2 linked regions of the Caenorhabditis elegans genome follow. The protein of the gene in region 1 interacts with the protein of each later gene in a pairwise test. Each region holds a gene or a part of one and is shown on either strand. Other genes may lie near its edges.

Region 1 (9,812 bases):
CGAGTGGAGTGAAGAAATTTTCACATTTTTTTCAAAAAAATTAAAATTTTCCAAAAGTCTCCCAGATTGTTTTCCTACTTTTAAACGTTCTGAAAAACTTTGAAAGTTTGCAAAAAAAATTTTTGGAGCAATTCTGCAGGCTTCCAAAGTAGTGAAAAAAATGCACTGAAACAGTTTCAGATCGATGCTAGAGGGGTTGAGAGTGGAGCTTTGCCGCTTAAAATTTTGCAGTGACATATCCTTATAGAACACTTTCGAATGACACATCTCTCGTTTTGAAGTCTGACGGTAAACTAAAAAGCTTTCCTTGTCAGATTAAATAAATAAAGAGATTTGAGTTTTATCGGGTTGTTTTTTTTTTAATCAATCAACTATTTGAATAAGTTGTTTAGTATAATATTCATATTTTCTTGGATAAGCGTGGCAAAAAGGGTCCGCGAATTTAGATTTTTATAGTTTGAAAACATATTGCATTCTTCAAAAAAAGGTAAAAACAACTCTATAGACTCAAAAACCAAAAATCTAGAAAAATCGAAAATTTTCGATACTATAGAACCGGGAAGTATTAAAACAAAAAAGATACGAACTTTATTCTTCTGTTTAAATCAAATCAACAAGCTGTATGTTGCAAAAAAGAGCACAAAATTATATGAAAAAGACAAGAGAACATAGCTCAATCAGGATTTGGTCCAACTAAAATGTTACGAAAATTCAATTTCTTCCTAGAATTGTTGGCCGCTGGACATTTTTTTCATTCTTTTCTTTTGCAAAAACTGAAATATTTGGTTGGATAGAAGGATTTGATGAGAAAAATGTGTTCATTTTGAAAAAAAGTTACCTAAAAATTTTTTATTAAAACTTAAGATTTGTTTTTAAAAAAATGACCCATGTTTCAGAAGCGAAGAAAGACCATTTTCTAAAGTTACGAGCAGGTTTCCAATTAAAAAAAATAAAAATTGAAGTAAATGTAGTAATATACTATAGACTTTATCTAGTTTTACCGACCTTTTTGTGATTCATACGTTTTTCGATCACAATCTCCTGTAACTGAAAATTAACCGAAAATTACTTTAAAATATATTAATAACCGATTTTAAGGCGAAATTTCCGTCTTGGATCCGGCCACAGATGCAAAATTATAAGCTACAGTACTTACAAGTTTCTTTATTTGAAATTTGTTCCCAGATTCTTTTAATGAGAAAGATAGAAATTAATTTTAAAATATTCTAAAACAATTAGAAAAACTAAAAACGCAAACAACTTTAGGGGGAAAATTGCCGCGTCATTATTTACCGCACTCTTGAATTCCTAGAGACTCAATTTTGCAGAAATAATCGCAATTTTCAAAGCAAAAAATGATTAAATGTTTTAACACAGAAATCTAGAATTTTATATTAAAATAAAAAAAAAACACTGACAGTTTCTAGTTTTTAAGAGGAAAAACATGCCGTTCGAATTTTTGAATATTCCTAAATATTTACGATTTTATTTACAAAGTTGATTAATGTTCTCGTATCACAAGATAACATTTTGTGATAGCAGGTGCTGATACTATTAAGAAAGAATTTGAATTTATATAAAAACCTTTCGGAGAAACTTCATTTTTTGTTATAAAAAATCCTTCAAACGCTTTCTGGAAATTTCATGAGTATTCAAAAGTTTAAATTTTCAGATCTTCTCAAACAAATAATTTTGAGGGCTTTATTTTCTGGATATGATATTCGAAAATGATAAATGGCAAAATAAAACTGAACATTCATTTTTAAAAAGATTAGTTCCAACTAAGTCAGAAGATGAGTATCAATACGAAGATCAAGAACTTAAATGAACAATGATTGAAACAGAATCGAATACAAAGAGGAAGACCAATGTGCCAAGAAGTGGCAACTGTTACGTAGAATAGTGTGTCTGGCTTTTGGTTGCAATTTAACCAACCAAAACATAAGAGATATGTGACGTCAGTGGAAGGAGATTCATTGGAAAAATGATACGTCAATTTGACACTAGATGATTTGTTTTCTAGTCAATGGGAGTAGTTTTTTATGATGACGACACAGGCTCTGGTGGTGAGGGACTTTTTGGAAAGAATTCTGGATAGAAATCAAGATCCTGGTGCACGTCTGAAAATACTGGGAGATAAAAGGGTGCAACGAAAAAAAAGTCCTGGAACACTGACTAAATAATCTTTGATCGGAGTTCCCATTTATCCCTGTAAATAGTTCAGGATCCTAATATTTGTTTGTTGATTCAAAATATCTTGGTTCTGAAAATTATCAGAATTTATTTTTGAATATGGAGTTATACTACACAAGTGCATACGTTTTATTTATAAAAAAAATGCATTTTCTGGTTGTGCTCAATAAGATTTCTGAAAATAACAGTAAGGATGAAAGGTGTGGAGATAAAGCGTGCCAAGCAGGTGATTTTGTCTCCAAAAAGTTGTCACCCGGTAAATAAATACATTTAAAAAATAAATAGAACATAAAGAGATAATTAAGAAGAAACATCTATTTCTCATAACGAACCTCTTGATCCTGAGAACTCGCCTCGGCAGTACCGTAACCTACAGTACTCTCAACGTTCGCAAGCCTGCAACTTTTCTTCTTTGTTTTTCTTCAAAGCAGTATCGAAAATCGGAAATTTTATTTTTGTGGTTTCTCAACTTTTAGATACTCATTTCAGAGTGTTTCCAGTATTTAAAAAAAAAAGATTTTCCAGTTTTCCAAAACCAAGAATTGGCTTGAGCCACATTTATTTATTTATAACCAGCAAAACGATTTTGTTTTAAATTTTCTTAAATATTCAATTTCTATATTTTTATCATTAAAAATCTTAGTCTTTCAAAGGTTTTCGTGATAAATCTATCCTTTGGGCAAATTTTGTTTTCTTTTTGAAATTTGAATCTCGCGCCGAAAAAGTAAGCTTCTCATCTGCCGTGTACTCCTTTCGGACAATCTGGATTTTTTGGGCTTTCCTTGTTTTTTCTCTTCTTTGTGCTTATTTTCTTATTTTCTTAACTTATTTTCTTGAAAGAATTTGGTTTTTTTTGTAAAGTTAAATTTTTTCTATACTTTTTAAAGTGTGAATAATTTGTTTTTTTAGAACTAATTATTATCTTTTGAAAGCGGTTTTCCAGCTCTCTCTAATTTTGCTGCTAAATATATTTCCATACAATTTTGCCGTTCCCAGTATTAAAAATAATTAAACCGAATTCTAAACAAACTTTCGGAGCTGTTTGTTGAGTTGCAGCTCAATAAATTTCTTTTCCTTTTTTTCTCTGTTCCTCTGCCCTCAGTGCTGTTGTTCCACAACACAACGAGTTCCTCTCCTTGTTTTTCCTGCAAGATTTTCATCTTCTCACCCCCAGAAAAGTTGAATTATTTGTGTCGATTCAGTTGCAAGATTAGACTATAAAATAAATAAGCGATGGGCTGACCAACACATAAATTACAATCCAATTATTCCTTTTCACATAGGGGTTCCTAGCATCAGAAACTAAAATTGAATGCATCTATAATCCCATTTTGTCTGATTTTTGTCTTTATTATCATTTCGTTGAAACGTGTAATCAACGCCACGATAAGAGATCAACCACGAGGAGAAGGGCAAGAGATTAGAAGAATCATTAAAAGTTGAAGGTTGTCTTATTATCTCTAAATATCTGTCTGTAATATCAATGATAAGATTGGCAGAAACCTGTTTATTCCACTGAAATTACCAGAATTCTTTGATTATTTAATTGTGAATTTTGTAGGCGATGGTGCTCGACCTGGTCAGTTTCTTATCAGAAAAAAAATATTTCAAAAGTTGTTTGTTTCCTAGAATTGTTTTATTGCTTATCAGTTCATAAAAACTGATTTTCAAATTCAATGTCACCATCTTTCCTGACAAAAACCTTTATCATGGAGTTAAAAAAGAACTTTGCTCGAGAATTTTCATTATCTACAGAAGCTACAATTATTTTACTTCTTATTCTAAACCTTCTTTTCTGTATTTAATAAAATTTATAAAAACTAGATCCTAAAAAGCGATAAAACAATTTTATTAAATTTTAATAGCGGAGCATCACGTTGGAAAATTTTGAAACTGTAGAATTATTTCCAATAAACCTGCGAGGAAATTCTTAAATTCAGGTATTTAATAATAGTTCTTCATTTTGAAAATTCACTAATTTTTCTGTCCCGGCTACATGCCATCCATTCTTATTATTTTTTAACCAAACTTCTCTATCAGCTCCGCCTCCCATGGCCTTTCCCACATTCCCACTTTCATTTTGATTCTCTTATATCATTCTTTCTCCCTTTTTCTTTATCACTTCTTTATCAATCTTTCATTACTTGCAGAATGTTGTCCTCCCTCCGTCGTGTCGTTCCATCTCTGCCACGTGGCTCCCGATCCTTGACCTCTCAGCAGATCTTCGATAGGGAGAAGAAGTTCGGTTGTCACAACTACAAACCATTGCCAGTAGCTCTTTCCAAAGGAGAAGGATGCTTTGTGTGGGATGTTGAAGGAAAGAAATATTTCGATTTCCTTGCTGCCTACTCTGCAGTTAATCAAGGGCATTGCCATCCAAAACTTCTCAAGGTTGATCGAAGAATTGGAAAGATTTAACTGAATTTCCAGTTTTTAGGTTGTTCAAGAACAAGCTTCCACATTAACGCTTACCTCCCGGGCATTCTACAACAATGTTCTTGGAGAGTACGAGGAATACGTCACAAAATTGTTCAAATATGATAAAGTTCTTCCAATGAATACTGGAGTAGAAGCTTGCGAGTCTGCAGTAAAATTAGCTCGCCGATGGGCTTATGATGTGAAGGGTGTCAAGGATAATGAGGCTGTGGTAAGTTATAAATTTTGACTTGAAATTAAGTATTGAAATTCTAGTTTTTCCAATTAGATTTTGAAAAAAATTATATTGCAGGTTGTATTCGCTGAAAACAACTTCTGGGGACGCTCGATCGCCGCTATTTCCGCATCCACTGATCCAGATTCATTCGCAAGATTCGGACCATTCGTCCCGGGATTCAAAACTGTCCCATATAACAACCTGAAAGCTGTTGAAGATGCTATCAAGGACAAGAATGTCGCTGCATTTATGGTTGAGCCAATTCAAGGAGAAGCTGGAGTCGTGCTCCCAGATCCTGGATACTTGAAGGGTGTTTCTGATCTTTGCAAGAAGTACAATGTTCTTTTCATCACTGACGAGGTTCAAAGTGGACTCGGGCGATCTGGAAAGTAAGAATTAATTCCTAATATTGTCAAAATCTGAAACAAACTAAAATTTCAGACTTCTCGCACACTACCACGACAACGTCCGGCCAGATATTGTTGTACTCGGAAAAGCGCTTTCTGGAGGATTCTACCCAGTTTCTGCAGTGCTCTGTGACGATAATGTTATGATGAACATCAAGCCAGGAGAGCACGGATCTACTTATGGAGGAAATCCATTGGCCTGTAAAGTGGCCATTGCTGCCCTTGAGGTAAGTAAATTTTATAACTGCGACCAAGTTATGTATGAATGAAAAAATTTCAGATTCTCCAAGAAGAAAAGCTCGTTGAAAATTCCGCTGTTATGGGAGATCTCCTTATGTCCAAACTGAAAACCCTTCCAAAAGATATTGTATCAACTGTTCGTGGAAAGGGACTTTTCTGCGCAATTGTCATTAATAAGAGTAAGTTAATATTCCAGTAACAGATATAATTAATCCCCACTATTTTCAGAATACGATGCTTGGAAAGTATGCTTAAAGCTGAAGGAGAACGGACTTCTTGCTAAGAACACCCACGGAGACATCATCCGATTCGCTCCACCACTCTGCATCAATAAGGAGCAAGTCGAACAGGCGGCCGATATCATCATCAAAACAGTCACCGATTTTGCAAAGCAAAACTAAATTTTTTCTGGGATTTTGCATAATAATGTCTCGTACTCGTCCCGTATTGTTCTCACGATCCAGATGCTGGTAATTTTTATAGCATTCGATGACATTTTCTTTTTTTGCGTATCGCAAATTTTGAGCTCTAATAAAGCTTCATGGTTTTTGATTTCTATCTTTGCAAAAATAGTTCAAAAGTTTAATCTTATCGTTGAGAGAATTGGAACACCATCGACGGAACAGGTCTCCATGTTTTTTTTAAGTCTTATTTTCTCTCAAGCATCTCTTATCTCTATATTATCCTGATAAGGTACCTGTCTCCACCAACCGAATAATTCAATTTAAAAGAAGCAAAGGTGTTGGTAGAAATTCAGAATTATCTTCTCTTCGGAGATGTTCCTCTACAATTCTGCCTCATTTCTAAATTATTAGTTGTTTCTATTTATAATATTTATTCTATATTTACTCCAATTATTCCGACGTCGCCTCGGATCATTTCCCGCTCAATGTGTCATATCTGCTCTAGTATGCCGAAAATCGTGCCACACACTTTGTACAATTTAAAGAAATAATTTTTATATAAAAACAAGTTGAGATATTGAATAATACACTGTGAACCGTAAAAAGAAGTTAAATTGAGATTTATAAAATGAGAGCGTAAAATATGAAATCATTGGAAACATGGAATTTCACAAATGTGTCTGAATCCTGGATAAAGAGCTGATATTCAATTTTTGATACGTTTAGGAGCTGGAGAATCACAGATGATTTCCAAGTCATCATCCTCTTTTTCCTCTACAGGATCTTCCCATTCATCAATCGTTGTATCTGGAGTCTTTTTGAGATATTCTGCGATGCCAGGCTGCGCGGCATCATTGAAACGGAGATGCATTTTGTCAGCAGTACGGAATGTGTCACTTGACAGGCTGACCTGAAATTAGACGCAAAAAAATATATAGACAATTAATTGCACTACCTGTCCCAACACATCTAATTTCTGCTGAACCATATTCCACATGACATCATCAGCAGTTTTCTTTGCGATCAAATATTGCACGAAGACACTATCCTTCTGTCCGACTCGATGAGCCCGATCCTCGGCCTGCACGAGGTATCCTGGATTGAAGTGAATTTCAGCGAACACGACGACCGATGCGGCGGTCAAAGTGATTCCAACACCTGCTGCAGTGATCGAAAGAACCGCGACACGAATGTTATCATCAGTCTGGAATGAGTCACAAAGAGCCGTTCTTCGATGTGATGGAGTCTTTCCATCGATTCGAATTGATCCAAGTTTTCGTTTGTTCACTTCCACTTGAATAGTGTCAAGAACGATTTGATGATGTGCGAAGATGAGCACTTTCCGTGGTGGAGCATCTGGATAGAAGTAGTTTTCGAGAATGTGCTCACAGACTGCAGCAGCTTTGACAATACCAGTAAGACTGTAGAACTCGAGAAGAGACTCATGTTTTCGCTCCTGAAGCAATTTTTTAAAACAATATTTTAAAATATTGAAAATTACCATTGAATTGACTTTTTCGTAATCAGCCCGAGCCTTCTGCAAATCATCCATTCTAGCATCAATTGTAGGTCCTGACACATAGACAACTTCACGACGTTTTTCAGGAAGATCTTTCAAGACATCAGCCTTTAGACGTCTGATCATCAATCTTTTAAACATGATTGCGGCGAGCTCTTCGCTGTTTGTACATCCTTTTGCCTTAAAAAGATAGTTATTTAAATTTAAAAAAAACGATCCACAGTACCTCAAAGCAAAATCTTCCTTGTTTTCCGTCACAATATCGTATCGCAAATTCATGAAAATTGGTGAATAACTTGTGATCGATCAATCTGATCTGTGTGAATAACTCGGACGGACGTGATAATGCAGGAGTTCCAGAGAGTAGGATCACATGAAGTGCCACTTTTGAAAGATCAGTTGCCACCTTCGTTCGTCGTGCTTTTCCGTCTTTCAGCATGTGAGATTCATCGAAAATAATTGTTCTATACTTTTCCTTTTTAAGTATATCATGTTTCAAAACCATTTGCTCGTAGCTCATAATCGCGACTGTGTTGGAAGTACAAACATCTGGCAAAGGATCGGAGGATTTGTCGACGATGAAAATTCGATGAATTATTGGGAAGAAAGTGTTGAGCTGCTTCTTCCAGGCACCTTTGACAGAGGCTGGACACACAATGAGGAGAGGCCAGTCGGCTCTGAAATTATTTATTACGATCTTAAGAGATTAAACTATCATCGGATCATACTTGTAGTATCTTGCAATTGTCAATGCTTGAACCGACTTTCCTAATCCCATTTCATCAGCTAATAGGATCCTTCCATCTCTTTCCAATGCAAATATCACACCTTCCTTCTGATAAGGAAAGAGTCTTTCGATAAGTGATGGATCCATAACTGTATTCAAATCACTAGGCGCTGCTTTTGGTTTGAAGTTCGTTAATCCTATAATATTCTGAGGAAGAGGTTCGAGTTCCACCTTCACTGCTGTTGCATTCTTTAAAATATTACTGATGGTGATGTGATCGGAAGAAGCTACTGTCCAGGATCTCTTAGCGGGATCGTAATTTCGACTTGGAACTTGTTTGATGAGATCGATTACTGCCGAATGAAATGGATAGAATTCAATCTTAAAATATATGTTTATATATGTTAAATATATGTTAAACTACAAATTTTTAAATTTTATTACCTTAATTCTATCACCAATATCCAACTTGAGTTTCACCCCAATCGTCGGTTTAATCAAACTTGTCGGTTCTGGCTTCTGAACTTGTTTGATGTAGTTGTTTATAGTCGATTGTTTTGTGCTATTGTTCATAGTCGGCTTCATTGGCTGGAAATTCTAAACTTTTTGTCAATTCAAAACTCATTTTTTAAAAACCTGTCGATTTTGTGAGAACATAACGGGAATAACTGGTTTAGGAGGAGCTGGTGGTGCAGCAGATGACGTGGAAGCTGTGGCGTTGGCGGCAGCCTGCTGAAATTAATAAATTTCAGTATTAAAAATATAATTTACATTTGAAAAGGGCATATTTGTAGATTAAACATGATGTGAATTAATTGAGTTATTACTTGATTGCGAAAGGGTGTGTCTGCCATGAATGTACTTTTACAGCTACAGTAACCGCGATTACGGTATTACGTGTTTATTATCTGTGGATAAACACGTAATACTATACTTTTTCTATGTATTTTCACATGAAGTTTAGCGTGTACGTGATGATAATCCAGTATGTTTCTTTAATAAAAGGAATGAAAATCCGAGTAGAAAAAAATTTGAAAAAATGGTGAAATAGTCGCGGATACTGTAGCTTCAAAAAACCCTGACAATCCAAAAACTACCATTTCTCTTTCCCTGTATGCTGCAGCTCGCCTGATCGCCTCTTCTCGTTTCTTGGCAATCGCCTGTCGTTGCTCATCAGTGAGCACCATATTCTGAATATCAACTTAAAAGTTAGAAACAAATCACAGCAAACTCAAGATAAGTCACAACATAGAAACACACAACTCTGATAGAATCACTCGTAGAAGAGAAGAAAGCAAAAAAAAAAACTTTAATTAATTATTAAACTTTGAAAGTGGCAATAAGTACAAGGAAATGGCAAGAAGAATTGTACATGAAGATCAGGGAAAATGGAAGAAAGCACCAAAGATCAGAGGTCGTTGTATTGTACATTTGTAGGTAAAGAAGCAATAAAATACAAATATGGGAATGAAGAATTAGAAGAAATTCAAAGCTCAAACACTGCAAGTGGTAAATACTTTTTGATAATATCCTTATCAGATTCTCGCATTCTGAGACATCGTTCGCTGATTAGTTGATTTCGAAATTCTTTAGCTTTCTGAAAATCCATTTTTATAGAAATTTCCAATTATCATTCAATTTTCCCTACCGTTGTTGAGTAGACTTTCAA
Region 2 (11,653 bases), on another chromosome or scaffold:
GATGAAATTTCGACGTGCAATATCAGGATCCCTGCAAACTTATTTTTATTTGCAATTAAAATTGTTTCATGTTTCAATTGTAGGGTGATGAAGTTGTTGAAAGAATTCGAAATCATTGGGAAGTGACATTAGAAGAGAGTTCACATTGGAATTGGGAGCATGCTCGTGAACATAAATCATTACAAGAATTGAACTCTTCTTCTCGTACCCATAGTTTTTTATACTCTTTCACCAAATTTCAACCGATTTTCTTGATTATTCTTGTCTGTATTTTTGATGCCATTCATCGCCAATTCGCGGTTTGAGACTATATGAATTCATTTTGGGTACTGAAAATACGTGTTTCAATTGTGTTCCCATCAAATTTTCAGGGTCTCATCACGATCTACCGTAATCCCAATATTGTGCCTATTTATGCTTTTATGGTTGTACACGTCGTGGTGTGTGTGTGTGTCTATTTGTACTTATTGTCAATTATCCTCAAATATTTAGTTTTGTTTCTTGCTTTCCGTCCCGGCATGATGATCCATTTTATCAGAACAAATTTAATCCGATTTCTTATTTTAAACAATATTTGAAAAAAAGTAGTGAGAGATAGTGAGGTACGCAGACACACAACACACCACATTGTCCATCCAAAACTTTTTTGAATTTACGAAACGCAGTAGATATTACGGTAGATCGTTGTTTTACAGGTTGAAGAGTCTGCTCCGATCTCATTTCCAGATTTGACGTCGGCTGGAAATTGTCATGATGAATGTAATGGAGGTGAGGAATTGATTTTCGCGATTACTATAAATGTTTAAAAAGTATTTTCGGTTTTTTTCAGAAATTTCAAAGTCAAAAATTAAACATTGCAGAAATTTCAAAATCAACTGGAAATATTGTCCAGATGCGAAATTTTGCGACTATTGCTTCAAAAATACGGTACCCGGTCTCGACACGGCCGATTTTTTCAATGCAAAAGAATGCGCGCCTTTAAGGAATACTGTAGTTTCCACATTTTCCGCGTTGCTCGATTTTCTCTGATTTTCAAAGCTTTCTCATGTTATTCAAAAATCATTGAAGAATTGTGCTGAAGCAGTTTATCTTACTTTAAAATACATAAAATGTTAAGAAAACTAAGGAAAATCTATAAAAAATTGAGCTACAGTACTTGTTTTGCAGTGCGTTCAGTGGTATTTTATATAAGTTAAACTAACAGTACACTTGGTGACTCTACAAGGATTTATTATAGACAACTAGTAACACTAATAGACAAGTAACGCAAGAACATAAAGCAAGAACTGATTCGGGAAGTCCCTCCAAGGTTGGCAATATGGTCCTTGTTCTTTGTTAGCACTGACTGTTGGTTGTTCCTTGAGCGATGGTGATAGAAATGCTCGGTGTTGTTAGCGTCCATTGTAGAGTACATAATTATGCAATAATTATAGAATAATTATTAAGTCGTGAATAATGGAGATCCTGCTCCATGCTATTCGCGACAGTACTCCTCAATGTAAAACTTTTTCGCGTTAAAAAATTGGTGGTGTCGATACCAGTTACTGTATTTTTGAATTAAAATCGAAAAAAAAATGCACATATGAGACATATTTCTGTTAATAAATTTTTGAATTTTTACAGGTTGCACAGAATCGAGCTCAGCAACATCATGTTTCGCTTGCAAACATTTAACTCAAACTCTTCGAAATAAAGGAGGAAGTGGATTCAAGTGTGTTCAAAAATGCGATGATACTTACTACTTGGATGGTGACAAGTGTAAAATGTGCTCATCCCATTGTCATACTTGTACGAAAGCTGAGGTATTTGGTGACATAATTGTTTGCCAAAAAAAAATAATTCTATAATTTTAGGTGTGTGAAACGTGTCCTGGAAGTCTTTTGCTCATTGATGTGGATAATATGCCACACTATGATCATGGAAAGTGTGTTGAGTCATGTCCTCCAGGATTGGTTGCTGATTGTAAGTTTTATAAGAGTTTCAGAATAAAAAGTTAATCTCCAGACGCTGAAAATTTCGATTTTTGCGCCAAAAATAACGAATCTGGTCGCGACACGACAGTGTTTGTTAAATTCAAAAAGCCGAGCGCCTTTAAAGATTACTGTAATTTGAAACTTGTTGATTTAGACTTTTTTATTTTTTCTCTCTTATTTTAGTTTTTTTTTTGCTAATAAATTTTTTTTATCGAAAAACTTTATTTCGATTTAAATCTATCGATTTAATTTATCGATTTAAAAAAATCCGCATCGATGGAAGTTTGAAATTACAGTACTCTTTAAATGCTCTCAGCTTTTCGAATTTGACAAAAATTGTCGTAGGCCGGGTACCGTATTTCTTTTATGAAAATTGCCAAAATTCGCGTCTGGAAATAGTGATCTTGAAGAAGAAAAAAGTTACAGCAGAAAAATCAAAGGAAGAAAAACTTGGTATTGTGTGTGAATGTTTGAGTGCTTTCTTTTTTCAGGCTAAATCCTACTTCTACACTGAAACTTTCCTCTTAGAATATTTACATCTGAAATTCTTGGCCTCTAACCATTTTCCTCATGTTACAAGTTTTTTGTTTAAACAATGTGAAATTTCAGATGAATCGAATCTTGTTCAAGCTAAATGTATCTGGAGAAAAGATCTTTGTGGTGACGGATATTACATCAACGCTGTTGGAAAATGTGATCTTTGCGACTCCTCATGCGAAACTTGCACCGCTCCTGGTCCAATGAGCTGTGAGAAATGTTCAAAAGGTTATGGTAAAGGATCGATTGGATACTGTAGACCGTGTTGTCCTGAAGGATCAACAAAGAGTTGGCAATGTGGTAAGGAAGACACTCTCAAAATCTTCCAGGTATTCTCACAATTATTTTTTCAGAGGACTGCTCCAAGCCGGATCCTACACTTTTGATTGATTCTAATAAATCATCTGGATTTGGATTGATGTTCTGGATTGTAGTTAGTTTGATTGCGGCTTGTGGAATCTGTGCCTGTAAAAAGTGTGCAAGTGAGACGAAAAGCTCAAACGTAGAGTAAGCCTTGCTAGTTATCGTCTCCGTAATTCGAATTTTAATATTTTTAGATATGCGCCGCTTGCTCAATATAATGCCACAAATGGTGCTATCAATTTAGGAGCACACACTGACGATGAAGACGATGATGAGGATGAAGTATTTGTGAACCCTCAAATTGTTTAAACCAAACCTTTCAAAATTCATGTTTTTAATTGTAATTTTTCTGCCAACTTCTTTGTGTATGCTTGTGAAATCCGGGTAATTGTTTCTTTTTCAAAATTTTAAAACCTGAAACGTTTTCAAGTGGCCTTTTATCATGTGATTGTATTGTTTCTTTTGTCTTATACCGGGTTTATTTTTATTATACCGTACTGTTTCCATGTTATAAATAGATTGTTGAATTAATTACACAAGACAAAACATCGACATATTAAGACTATACAAATGAGTTCCGACAGTAGACACCTAAGCCGACTCGATTCACTTCTGTGGCTTCAGCTCGGAAGTTTCGAACTTCTGCACGCGATGGTTTAGGCACTTCTGGTGACATATTGATAATATCATCTAGTGTAGGAAACGTGAATTCGGAGCCTTCGACAGGGAGAAACTTCTGATATGTGCTTCTGAAAGTAAGCAATTAATTAAAATCTGTGTTTTCTTCAAGGTTACCTCATAACATCTTTAATTCTATTCAATGTTCTTACAGTTCTTCCCGGGTTGTGCTCATCGAATGGATCTTGAATACACACCTCTTTGTTTGTTGAACTACGAACCATATTGTTTTGTGATGTTCTTCTGAAATTTCAGTTTATTATTTTGAAGAAGATCCAATTGGTTAATTTGTATTCACAGAAAAAAAAATCTACCGATCCATGACCATTACAGGCCTGGCACCAATGTAGTTTTCTTTGAAGTTGAACATCGAGTAGTAATATAGAAATTCGATGAACAATCTTGCCAGTGGAGCATTATTTGGGGCAATTCTAGGAAGAGGCTTGGGAAGTGGTGCACCAAAATTCAAAATTGATGGATAGACTTTGTCATCCCAAGCAATGAAATTATCCTCTGAAATGTTTAATTATGAAAAAAAAACAACAGAGAATATATTCACTCACTTTTAAAGATTTCTTGCAAATTTGGCAGTATTGGTGGAAATGTACCGCATTGGAGGAAGTGAATCACCAGTAGAACAAGTGCATAACTGAAATTTCAGAATTTTAGATAAATTCAAATAAAGTGATTAATATTTAACCTGTTGAATCCTCCATCTTTTGGATCTTTAACTTTTGTACTGGCTGCCCATTGTTTTACGATTGCACATAATGGTGCAAATCGGCCGTCGATACTTCAAAATTAATTGGAAATAGAATGTCTAACAACAAGAAAACTAACTGTGCCAAATGTCGAATCAAAAAAGAATTGTGCATCGATGACAGAAATCGATCCATAACTACACTGATATCACAATCGATTCCGTCTACCGTCATCACTTTCAAAATTTGAATTTGAGCTTGAACGAGCTGGATTCCATGTTCCCAATTAATTCTTGAATTGATCTGTTCATCATTTTGTAAGTTAAGACGGACAATTTGTAGGATTTCCAATTGAATTCTGTAATTTATGTCATTTAAATAATTAATTAATCCCGAGAAAGCCTAACTCTCTCCATGATGCTTGTCGTTCGTCATCTGTGATATTTCTTCCACGTTCTTCTTGTTCCAGAACTCTTGCCGCTTGTGGGATATGAATTGCAACGTCTAGATCACTGTTTTTAGTGGCCAATCCGGTTACTGTACTTCCAGTTGGCACGATATTGAATAGCCACGTTGGATTGTTCTTCGAAATTATATTCTTCAGCTGATAGCACCAATCCATTTTTTTACCGAACTCCTCTTTTGGCTGAAAATAAGGAACTCTTAATTTTTCATTTAATTCAAAGCAACCTGTTTCGTAGTATCGAAATGATCCTGCATACTGATAGACAATATATTGAAATCGTCCTCGTGATCCCTTAAAACGCGTTGAAACTTTCCGTTAAATTTGTGAAACGCTTTTGGATTCGCTTTGACCTTAAAGTCTATGTCTTCTGGACTTCGCTGATCTTTATTTGGTTGAGACATTGTTGTTACTACAAAAAATATTCAATTATTATTCTCATTGGAGGTGAAATAAAGCGCGACAATATAATTCTTTTAAAAAACTGGAAGGAAATGCACAAATGTGCTTGCTGTATAAAAATGAACATTAACATTCCAAGAAACGAATAAACAATTTTATGAATTTCCCGGACTCGCACCGATACCGCGCAAAGGAGTTGTGTTAGCGCACTCTCCGTGCACTATGCACATTCTTCGTTTCTCCAACGATTTTTTTTTGTAATTTAATCAAAAAAGCGAAGCATGTCCGATGATGAAAGTATTTTTGTTCCCGATGAAAATTCAGCACAAGTTTCTGCAGAAACGACTGTAAAATGGTAAGTCAATCTGTTCATAATAATGTTTTTATCGCTTCAAAAGTTACAGGACTGATAGCGCCAGTTCGCAGAAGGTTATCAACAATTTGGAGAAATTCGTGCTTAATCAAAGTCTTGACAAGAGTTATAAAAAGATTGTAAGTGAAATGTATTAGTGTTTCAATAACTAATCTTCTTGCAGGCAAGTGACGGCATCGCCAGCAGTAAAAGAACCCTCGAATCGCTTTTAGCTCGGAATGGTGGACATCAAAACCTTCTTAATGAAGAAGTTAACAAACTAAACAATAAAAACTACACTTTGGATGCGGATGGACGAGTTTGTTTGGTTAAAAATTCTTCAAACGACACGAGCCGCCACCAAGAGGTTTTTGTACCAATGTTTTTGAAAACCCTAAAAACGAGTTCATTCAGTTGATTCTTCTACAAAAAGACACCCATGAGCTTCGATGCCTTCGCGAATATTTGATGTTAGCTCTTGAAGCAATTATGCACAATCATCGGCAGATGATGGTCAAACATGTTCAGAACGTCAGAGAAAGGCCAAGACAAGTTTCTCAAGCAGCTATAGATAACGCAATAGTGAGTTATTTTATAAACTCAAAATTTAAAAACGTTTGAGGTCTCAAGCGCTTTTGGGCTTTTTATTGAGGCTTTTTATTCATTTTTGTTTCAGGAAAAAGCCAACACACGCATTATTGACGAATTTGCTCAGATGACACTCTTCGTCGATCAGTCCATTGCTCGCGAAGAAATTCGGTCGGAAAACAGACGAAAATTAAAGAAAACCATTGAAATTGAGACTTTTTTGATGAGAATGATGCTCGAAATGGAAGATATTCGGGAAGCAAATGTGAAAGATTTGGTGTCATTATGGCGGTAAATTATTATAAATTTTTAATTCAAATTATTTTCAAATTTAACGCTTCAAAGTAATTCTTACTTATTTATCACATATTTTTGTCGTTCACGACAATTTTTCATTGATTGCGATTTTTGGTCGATAGATGAAATTTTTGCATAATCGACGGAAATGTACCAAAAAACTCATAATAAATGGAAAAATATGCAAATAGTATGAAAAAATTTTGTAAGATTTTTTTGTTGAAATTTTAACAATTTTAGCCATTTTTTGACTCTAGTTACTAGTTTTTTGTCCAGTGTATTTTTTGTTAAATTTTTTAAAAAACAATTTTTTTAAGTTCATAAGTTTCCAGTAATTTTTTTTTCGAAAATTTACAAATGGTACATTTTTTTCGAAATCGTCGTAATAAAATATGATCGAATATTTTTTCCAAAAAATTTGCTACCTCATGATTTGTCTTTAAAATTCTTTTTGTTTTCAGGAGTCATCAACGTTCTGCAAAAACTCAACCAACGAATAACAACGCTGCTGGTGATTCTACAAACTAACTTTTGAATTCTTCACAATCGAAAAATAGAAAATCCACTGTCATATCAAAATTCCTTAACTAGAATCTCTCACCAACTCGTTTATAAATGTATTGCAATGATTGTACTATTTATTTTTGACCTCACTTTTTCCCTCCTAATCAGATTTCAATATTTGGTCCCTGTGTGTCTTTCTGCCTGTCACATTTACTTGTATTGTTCCTTCCCCACACATAATTGCTTATTTTCTTTGAAAATATGTACTGTAGATGCTTGATTTTTTTGATTGCACCATTTCGTTGAAATGAATTTATTCTTTCAGATTTTCCAAGCAACATGCTCACGTGTGAGCTAACATCAACAAACGACATGAAAAAATCTGAATTTCTCACTTTGAGAATTTAAAAATGGCTTCTTCATATTTATTTTTTATCCGTCGACTAATCATTTGGCACTACAAGGCACCTGCCACCAGTTTCTCATATCTAATTATGAATTTCTCTAAATTCTCTTCTTTTCACACAATATCTCGTTTTTTCCATGACAACGGAGAGCAGTGAAGCCTGAGAAAGGGGGAATTTCTCTGATTCTCTCACTATTTTTCACCCGTATAGCTGTTACTTACCTTTCCGTTATTTTCTTACGACCCATTTTCATTTTGAAGCTTTTTACACAAATTATTCTGAAATCAAATTCTTGAAGGAAAATGTCCGATTCTGACTTGAAAGAAATTGAAAAAAATGCGGAAAATATAAAATTAGAACCAGCTGAAGATGAAGTGAATGAAGAAGATCAAAATGAAATGTAAGCTTTTTTTCAAACATTTGTCCAATTTCTCCATTTTCAGCACAATTCCAGAATTACCGGAGGGTAGAGTTTTAGAGCTCAGGTTACTTTCAAATTGGGGAGATTCTCATTATATTGGTCTAAATTCTGTCGAAATATTCACGTCAACAGGAGAAAGAGCTGTTATAGACAAAGTTAGTGTTTTTTCTGAATATTCAGAGTAAAGTCGTTTTCTTTGTTTTTTTTACTTATTGCTTTTCCACTGAAAATCATGTACTCTGGTCCTAACGCGAATGAGACTTCACAGCTACCGTATCCGCTAGTACTGTAGACTTTCTTCGATTTTATTTAAATACGAAGTTTATTTATTAAATAGTAATTACTATAAATAGTAGTTTCAGAGAATTATTAATATATTCAACAATTTAAGTTTTTTCACAGCGAAAAATTCTTGAATTTTTTGTAGATCATACCGAAATTATACAGCCTGACACGACGCGAAAATATACAAAAAACGAATAGAAATCGGTAAATACTGATGAGGATGAAAAGTCTCGCGCTAATTTAACTTCCTTCAGAAATAGTAAATTTTAATTGTAAAACGTATGCCACTATGCCCAAATTGTTGTACGTAGATTTATCATAACTTCGCAGTTTTCGATGTTTATCATAAGGATTTCAATATTAAAATAGATTATTCTTAATTCAAAACTTTGCTATTTTCCGATAGCAACAAATGTGACTGAGTACACTGGAAGTCTCGAATCTCTGATTGTTCAACGAGTTCATTGCAAAGACGCCGAAAAAATGTGGTGTGCCAAAACGACGGAAGAGAAAATAGTTCTAACTTTGGAACTCAAAGAAACATGCAAACTTGCACTTATCAGATTTTGGGTGAGAATTATTCTTTCATGTGTGAAATATTAATGTTTTTATGAGAACGTTTTTAGAATTACAATGCATCAAGAGTTCATGCTCAAATTGGCGTCCGTTACCTTGAAATGTATTTGGATGGAGTTGGGATATTTCGAGGAGAACTTGAATGTGCATTCTCCGCTGATTCTGAGTTTACACCTGTAATGGGGGAGACTGTTCTTTTCACTACTTCTGATAATATATTGGAGCTCATTGCTCTTCACGATGTTTGCTTGATAAGTTTACCTGAAGAACCAATTTCAAATTCATCAATAGAAATGTTAAAAGCGGATCATTTAACACCATATAGGCCTTCAACTTGTGAAGCAAAAGATGCTCCATCAACTCCTGTTACCATAGTTCCACCTCCAATATTCAGGCAAACTGGGACAGCTTATAAGCACGATGTGAAAAGTAAGAGTTAATACTTTCATAGAAATATTTTACCTGAAATAATTTTAAAAAAACAATATTTTTTTCTATAACTGTTCTGAATTTTAACACTTTTTTTCTGGATTAAAAAATATCATAATTCTTGATCTCCAGTACGTTGGAAGTTCATATCTCATTTAAGATACATAATCTCAAGTTTAACTTTAAAAATCCGTAGAAAATGAATTTATAATTCATTGTCTATATTTAACGTGCTCTAATTAAACCGAAAACTACCTAAATATGACATAGACTGGCTGTCCATCACAAAAGTTTAGTGTTCGAAAATTATAGTTAGTTTTTTTTCAGCAATAACATAAAATATTTGCAGCTCTTCATATTGAACTACTTTCCAATTGGGGAATGGATGGTTTGATTGGACTTACTGGACTAGAACTTGTGGATGAACATAGCCAATTGATTGATGAGTCACAGTACACAGTGACCACTTCCGATGGAAATTCTGATCTATCTAAAAAGTAAGTTCTTTGCATTAGTCTCAGATTTTTCTTCATGATTCTTTTTTTCCAGACTTTTCAACGGTCGAAACCTAACTCGTGATCCTCATGACATGTGGCTTGTTGACTTTGATTCAAAGAATTTTACAACAATTTCAATAACTTTTCATGACAACGTTGCTCTGAAAGCAATTTCCGTCTGGAATTATAATGCTAGTTTTGAACTTTCATACGCCGGAGTTAAGGCAGCTAAGATTTACATAAATGGAAAATTGATCAAGAATGTTTTATTACGAAAAGCTACTGGATTCGTATACTTTGATTATGTGCAAGATGTGGTTCTTGACCCAAATAACACTGAAAGAGATTTTGTGCCAAAGGGAATAAGTCAAAGTATTGGTGGATGTAAGTAAATCTACTTTTGAAAAAAATTTAAACTGATAAAGTTAAACAATTTTGATAACTGAAGCGTTTTTTTTTCAAATTTTCATGTTCTTCAAAAGTGGACTAATAAATTAGGAACTTGTTTCCAGAACGTATTACTCATAATCAGTTTGCAAATATCATAATTTTGGTAGTCCACTAAATAATTTTCTTCAATTTTCAAAATTCAATTATATTCAAGTTATTATTCTAGTATCGTAGATTATCAACATGCGAAATTGCTTTGAACTTCTGGAAACCATGAAACTTTGATTTTTCTTGTCTTACTATTAGAATGAAAAAAATCCAATTTTCAGTCGTATTTCAAATTCGTCTTTTATCTACATGGGGTGATGAGTTCTACATTGGACTCAATGGAATTGAACTTTATAATCGGAAAGGAGAACTCATGAAAATTAGAGAACATAGTAAACTTTCAATTTATGAAATATTCAATATATCAGTTATGTTTCAGACTTGGCAGCATTTCCAGAAAGTGTAAACATTCTTCCAAATATAAAAAATGATTTGCGTACTTCAAATAACCTAATCACACAACCTAATGATACTGACATGTTTGTTGTTTCAACCTATTACCTTATAAATAGGGTATTTCAGAGCAAGAAATATGTGGCTGACAGCTCTTCTTCCGAATAGATGTGCTCGAGTCTTTTTTGTGTTTGATGTTCAGACATATATCTCAAAAATTGTAATCTACAATTATCGCAAAACCCCTGAACGCGGGGTTCGACATATTTCAGTTGGTTTTCTATCAGAACACCTGAAAAATAGAACAATTAAATGTATTTTCAGGTAACTGTGGATGATTTGATAATCTTCTCTGGTGAAATTCCATCAAGCACGGCCACTTTAACTGGAAATCTCGAGATTAACTTAATGGATATTTAGTTTTATTTGGGAATCCCAATCTGTAGAACCGGTTTTCAATTGTGATTGTGTCCTCTCTTTTTGTTGAATGACCATGGTGTTGAAAAAACTTTCAATAAATTGATTTTTTTCGATGAAGCATTGAAATTAATTTTTTACGACTTTATGCACATACTTAATAAGCTTACAGTAATCTCTCACACTCTAAACTGCTCTGAAGCGCCCCCCGAAACTAGGAGTGGCAATGGGTCGCAACGGGAAGAAACTTTAAGAATGAATATGAAATGTGTTGGATAGTAAGTGGAAACCGAAGTTGTGCCCATTTTAAATTCTATAGATGGTTCAGATGTTGGTGGTTGTGGATCAGGTTGTTCAGTTTTGTGGTAGAGAATCTTAAGTTGCAATTTCTACTGGGTAAGACATTGTTTGCAAAAGAGCCAGGGTCAGTGGTGTAACAGGGATTGGAGGAGGAAGTGAGGGTAGAAAATGAAATGCTTGAGGTACAGGCTGAAAGCATCAGAATCTCAGTTTATTCAAATTTAAATTTAACAAATAATTGATGTAAACATAATGGCAACTGCCCTATTGTTGAATTTGAGCCAAGAATAAAATTGGCAGAATCCATAAGTTTACATTTCCAGTCTGACTTGAAAGTAGCATGTTGTTCCAAATCGGGATAAGAGACGTGATTTGGAGTGAAATTAGTTATTCTGACACAAAAAATACGCACAATTCCTTAAATTTCAAATTTTCAAATCTTAATTTCCGTGCGCACCCCGACCAAGAGAAGTGAAACGTTTCTGCAAGCGACCAAAATAGCGTCAATAAGCTCTACTTGACGCGTTTATTGCATTTATTTTCACAAGTATTCTATACGTACATTTCTTTCT

Evidence for each region.
Region 2: the proteins of oatr-1 (region 1) and K04F10.2 interact in a two-hybrid assay, tested with the Caenorhabditis elegans proteins (one large-scale study listed by BioGRID).

The regions. Positions count from the first base shown.
Region 1 is NC_003281.10:6,390,467-6,400,278, reverse strand, and holds oatr-1 (putative ornithine aminotransferase, mitochondrial), read left to right. Parts: upstream 1-4,343; 5' UTR 4,344-4,344; coding exon 4,345-4,584; intron 4,585-4,630; coding exon 4,631-4,840; intron 4,841-4,921; coding exon 4,922-5,235; intron 5,236-5,287; coding exon 5,288-5,480; intron 5,481-5,533; coding exon 5,534-5,672; intron 5,673-5,721; coding exon 5,722-5,894; 3' UTR 5,895-6,041; downstream 6,042-9,812. Other genes in the region: smrc-1 (SWI/SNF-related matrix-associated actin-dependent regulator of chromatin subfamily A-like protein 1 homolog), read right to left, coding at 6,604-6,807, 6,853-7,353, 7,399-7,596, 7,643-8,093, 8,145-8,524, 8,588-8,740, 8,780-8,875, 9,241-9,330; C16A3.2 (protein-tyrosine-phosphatase), read right to left, coding at 9,630-9,740, 9,792-9,812.
Region 2 is NC_003279.8:6,353,277-6,364,929, forward strand, and holds K04F10.2 (Protein KATNIP homolog), read left to right. Parts: upstream 1-7,561; 5' UTR 7,562-7,567; coding exon 7,568-7,665; intron 7,666-7,708; coding exon 7,709-7,845; intron 7,846-8,377; coding exon 8,378-8,541; intron 8,542-8,597; coding exon 8,598-8,976; intron 8,977-9,325; coding exon 9,326-9,473; intron 9,474-9,525; coding exon 9,526-9,857; intron 9,858-10,192; coding exon 10,193-10,303; intron 10,304-10,350; coding exon 10,351-10,450; intron 10,451-10,493; coding exon 10,494-10,635; intron 10,636-10,688; coding exon 10,689-10,784; 3' UTR 10,785-10,896; downstream 10,897-11,653. Other genes in the region: Endoprotease bli-4, read left to right, coding at 696-768, 1,624-1,802, 1,854-1,962, 2,583-2,810, 2,864-3,017, 3,068-3,182; rde-3 (PAP-associated domain-containing protein), read right to left, coding at 3,436-3,622, 3,669-3,794, 3,866-4,064, 4,115-4,200, 4,252-4,344, 4,392-4,610, 4,660-4,898, 4,943-5,119; K04F10.3 (Vacuolar protein sorting-associated protein 28 homolog), read left to right, coding at 5,399-5,472, 5,516-5,609, 5,654-5,836, 5,884-6,051, 6,146-6,348, 6,816-6,882. UniProt on the Caenorhabditis elegans protein: May regulate ciliary A-tubule number and, along with arl-13, controls cilium integrity.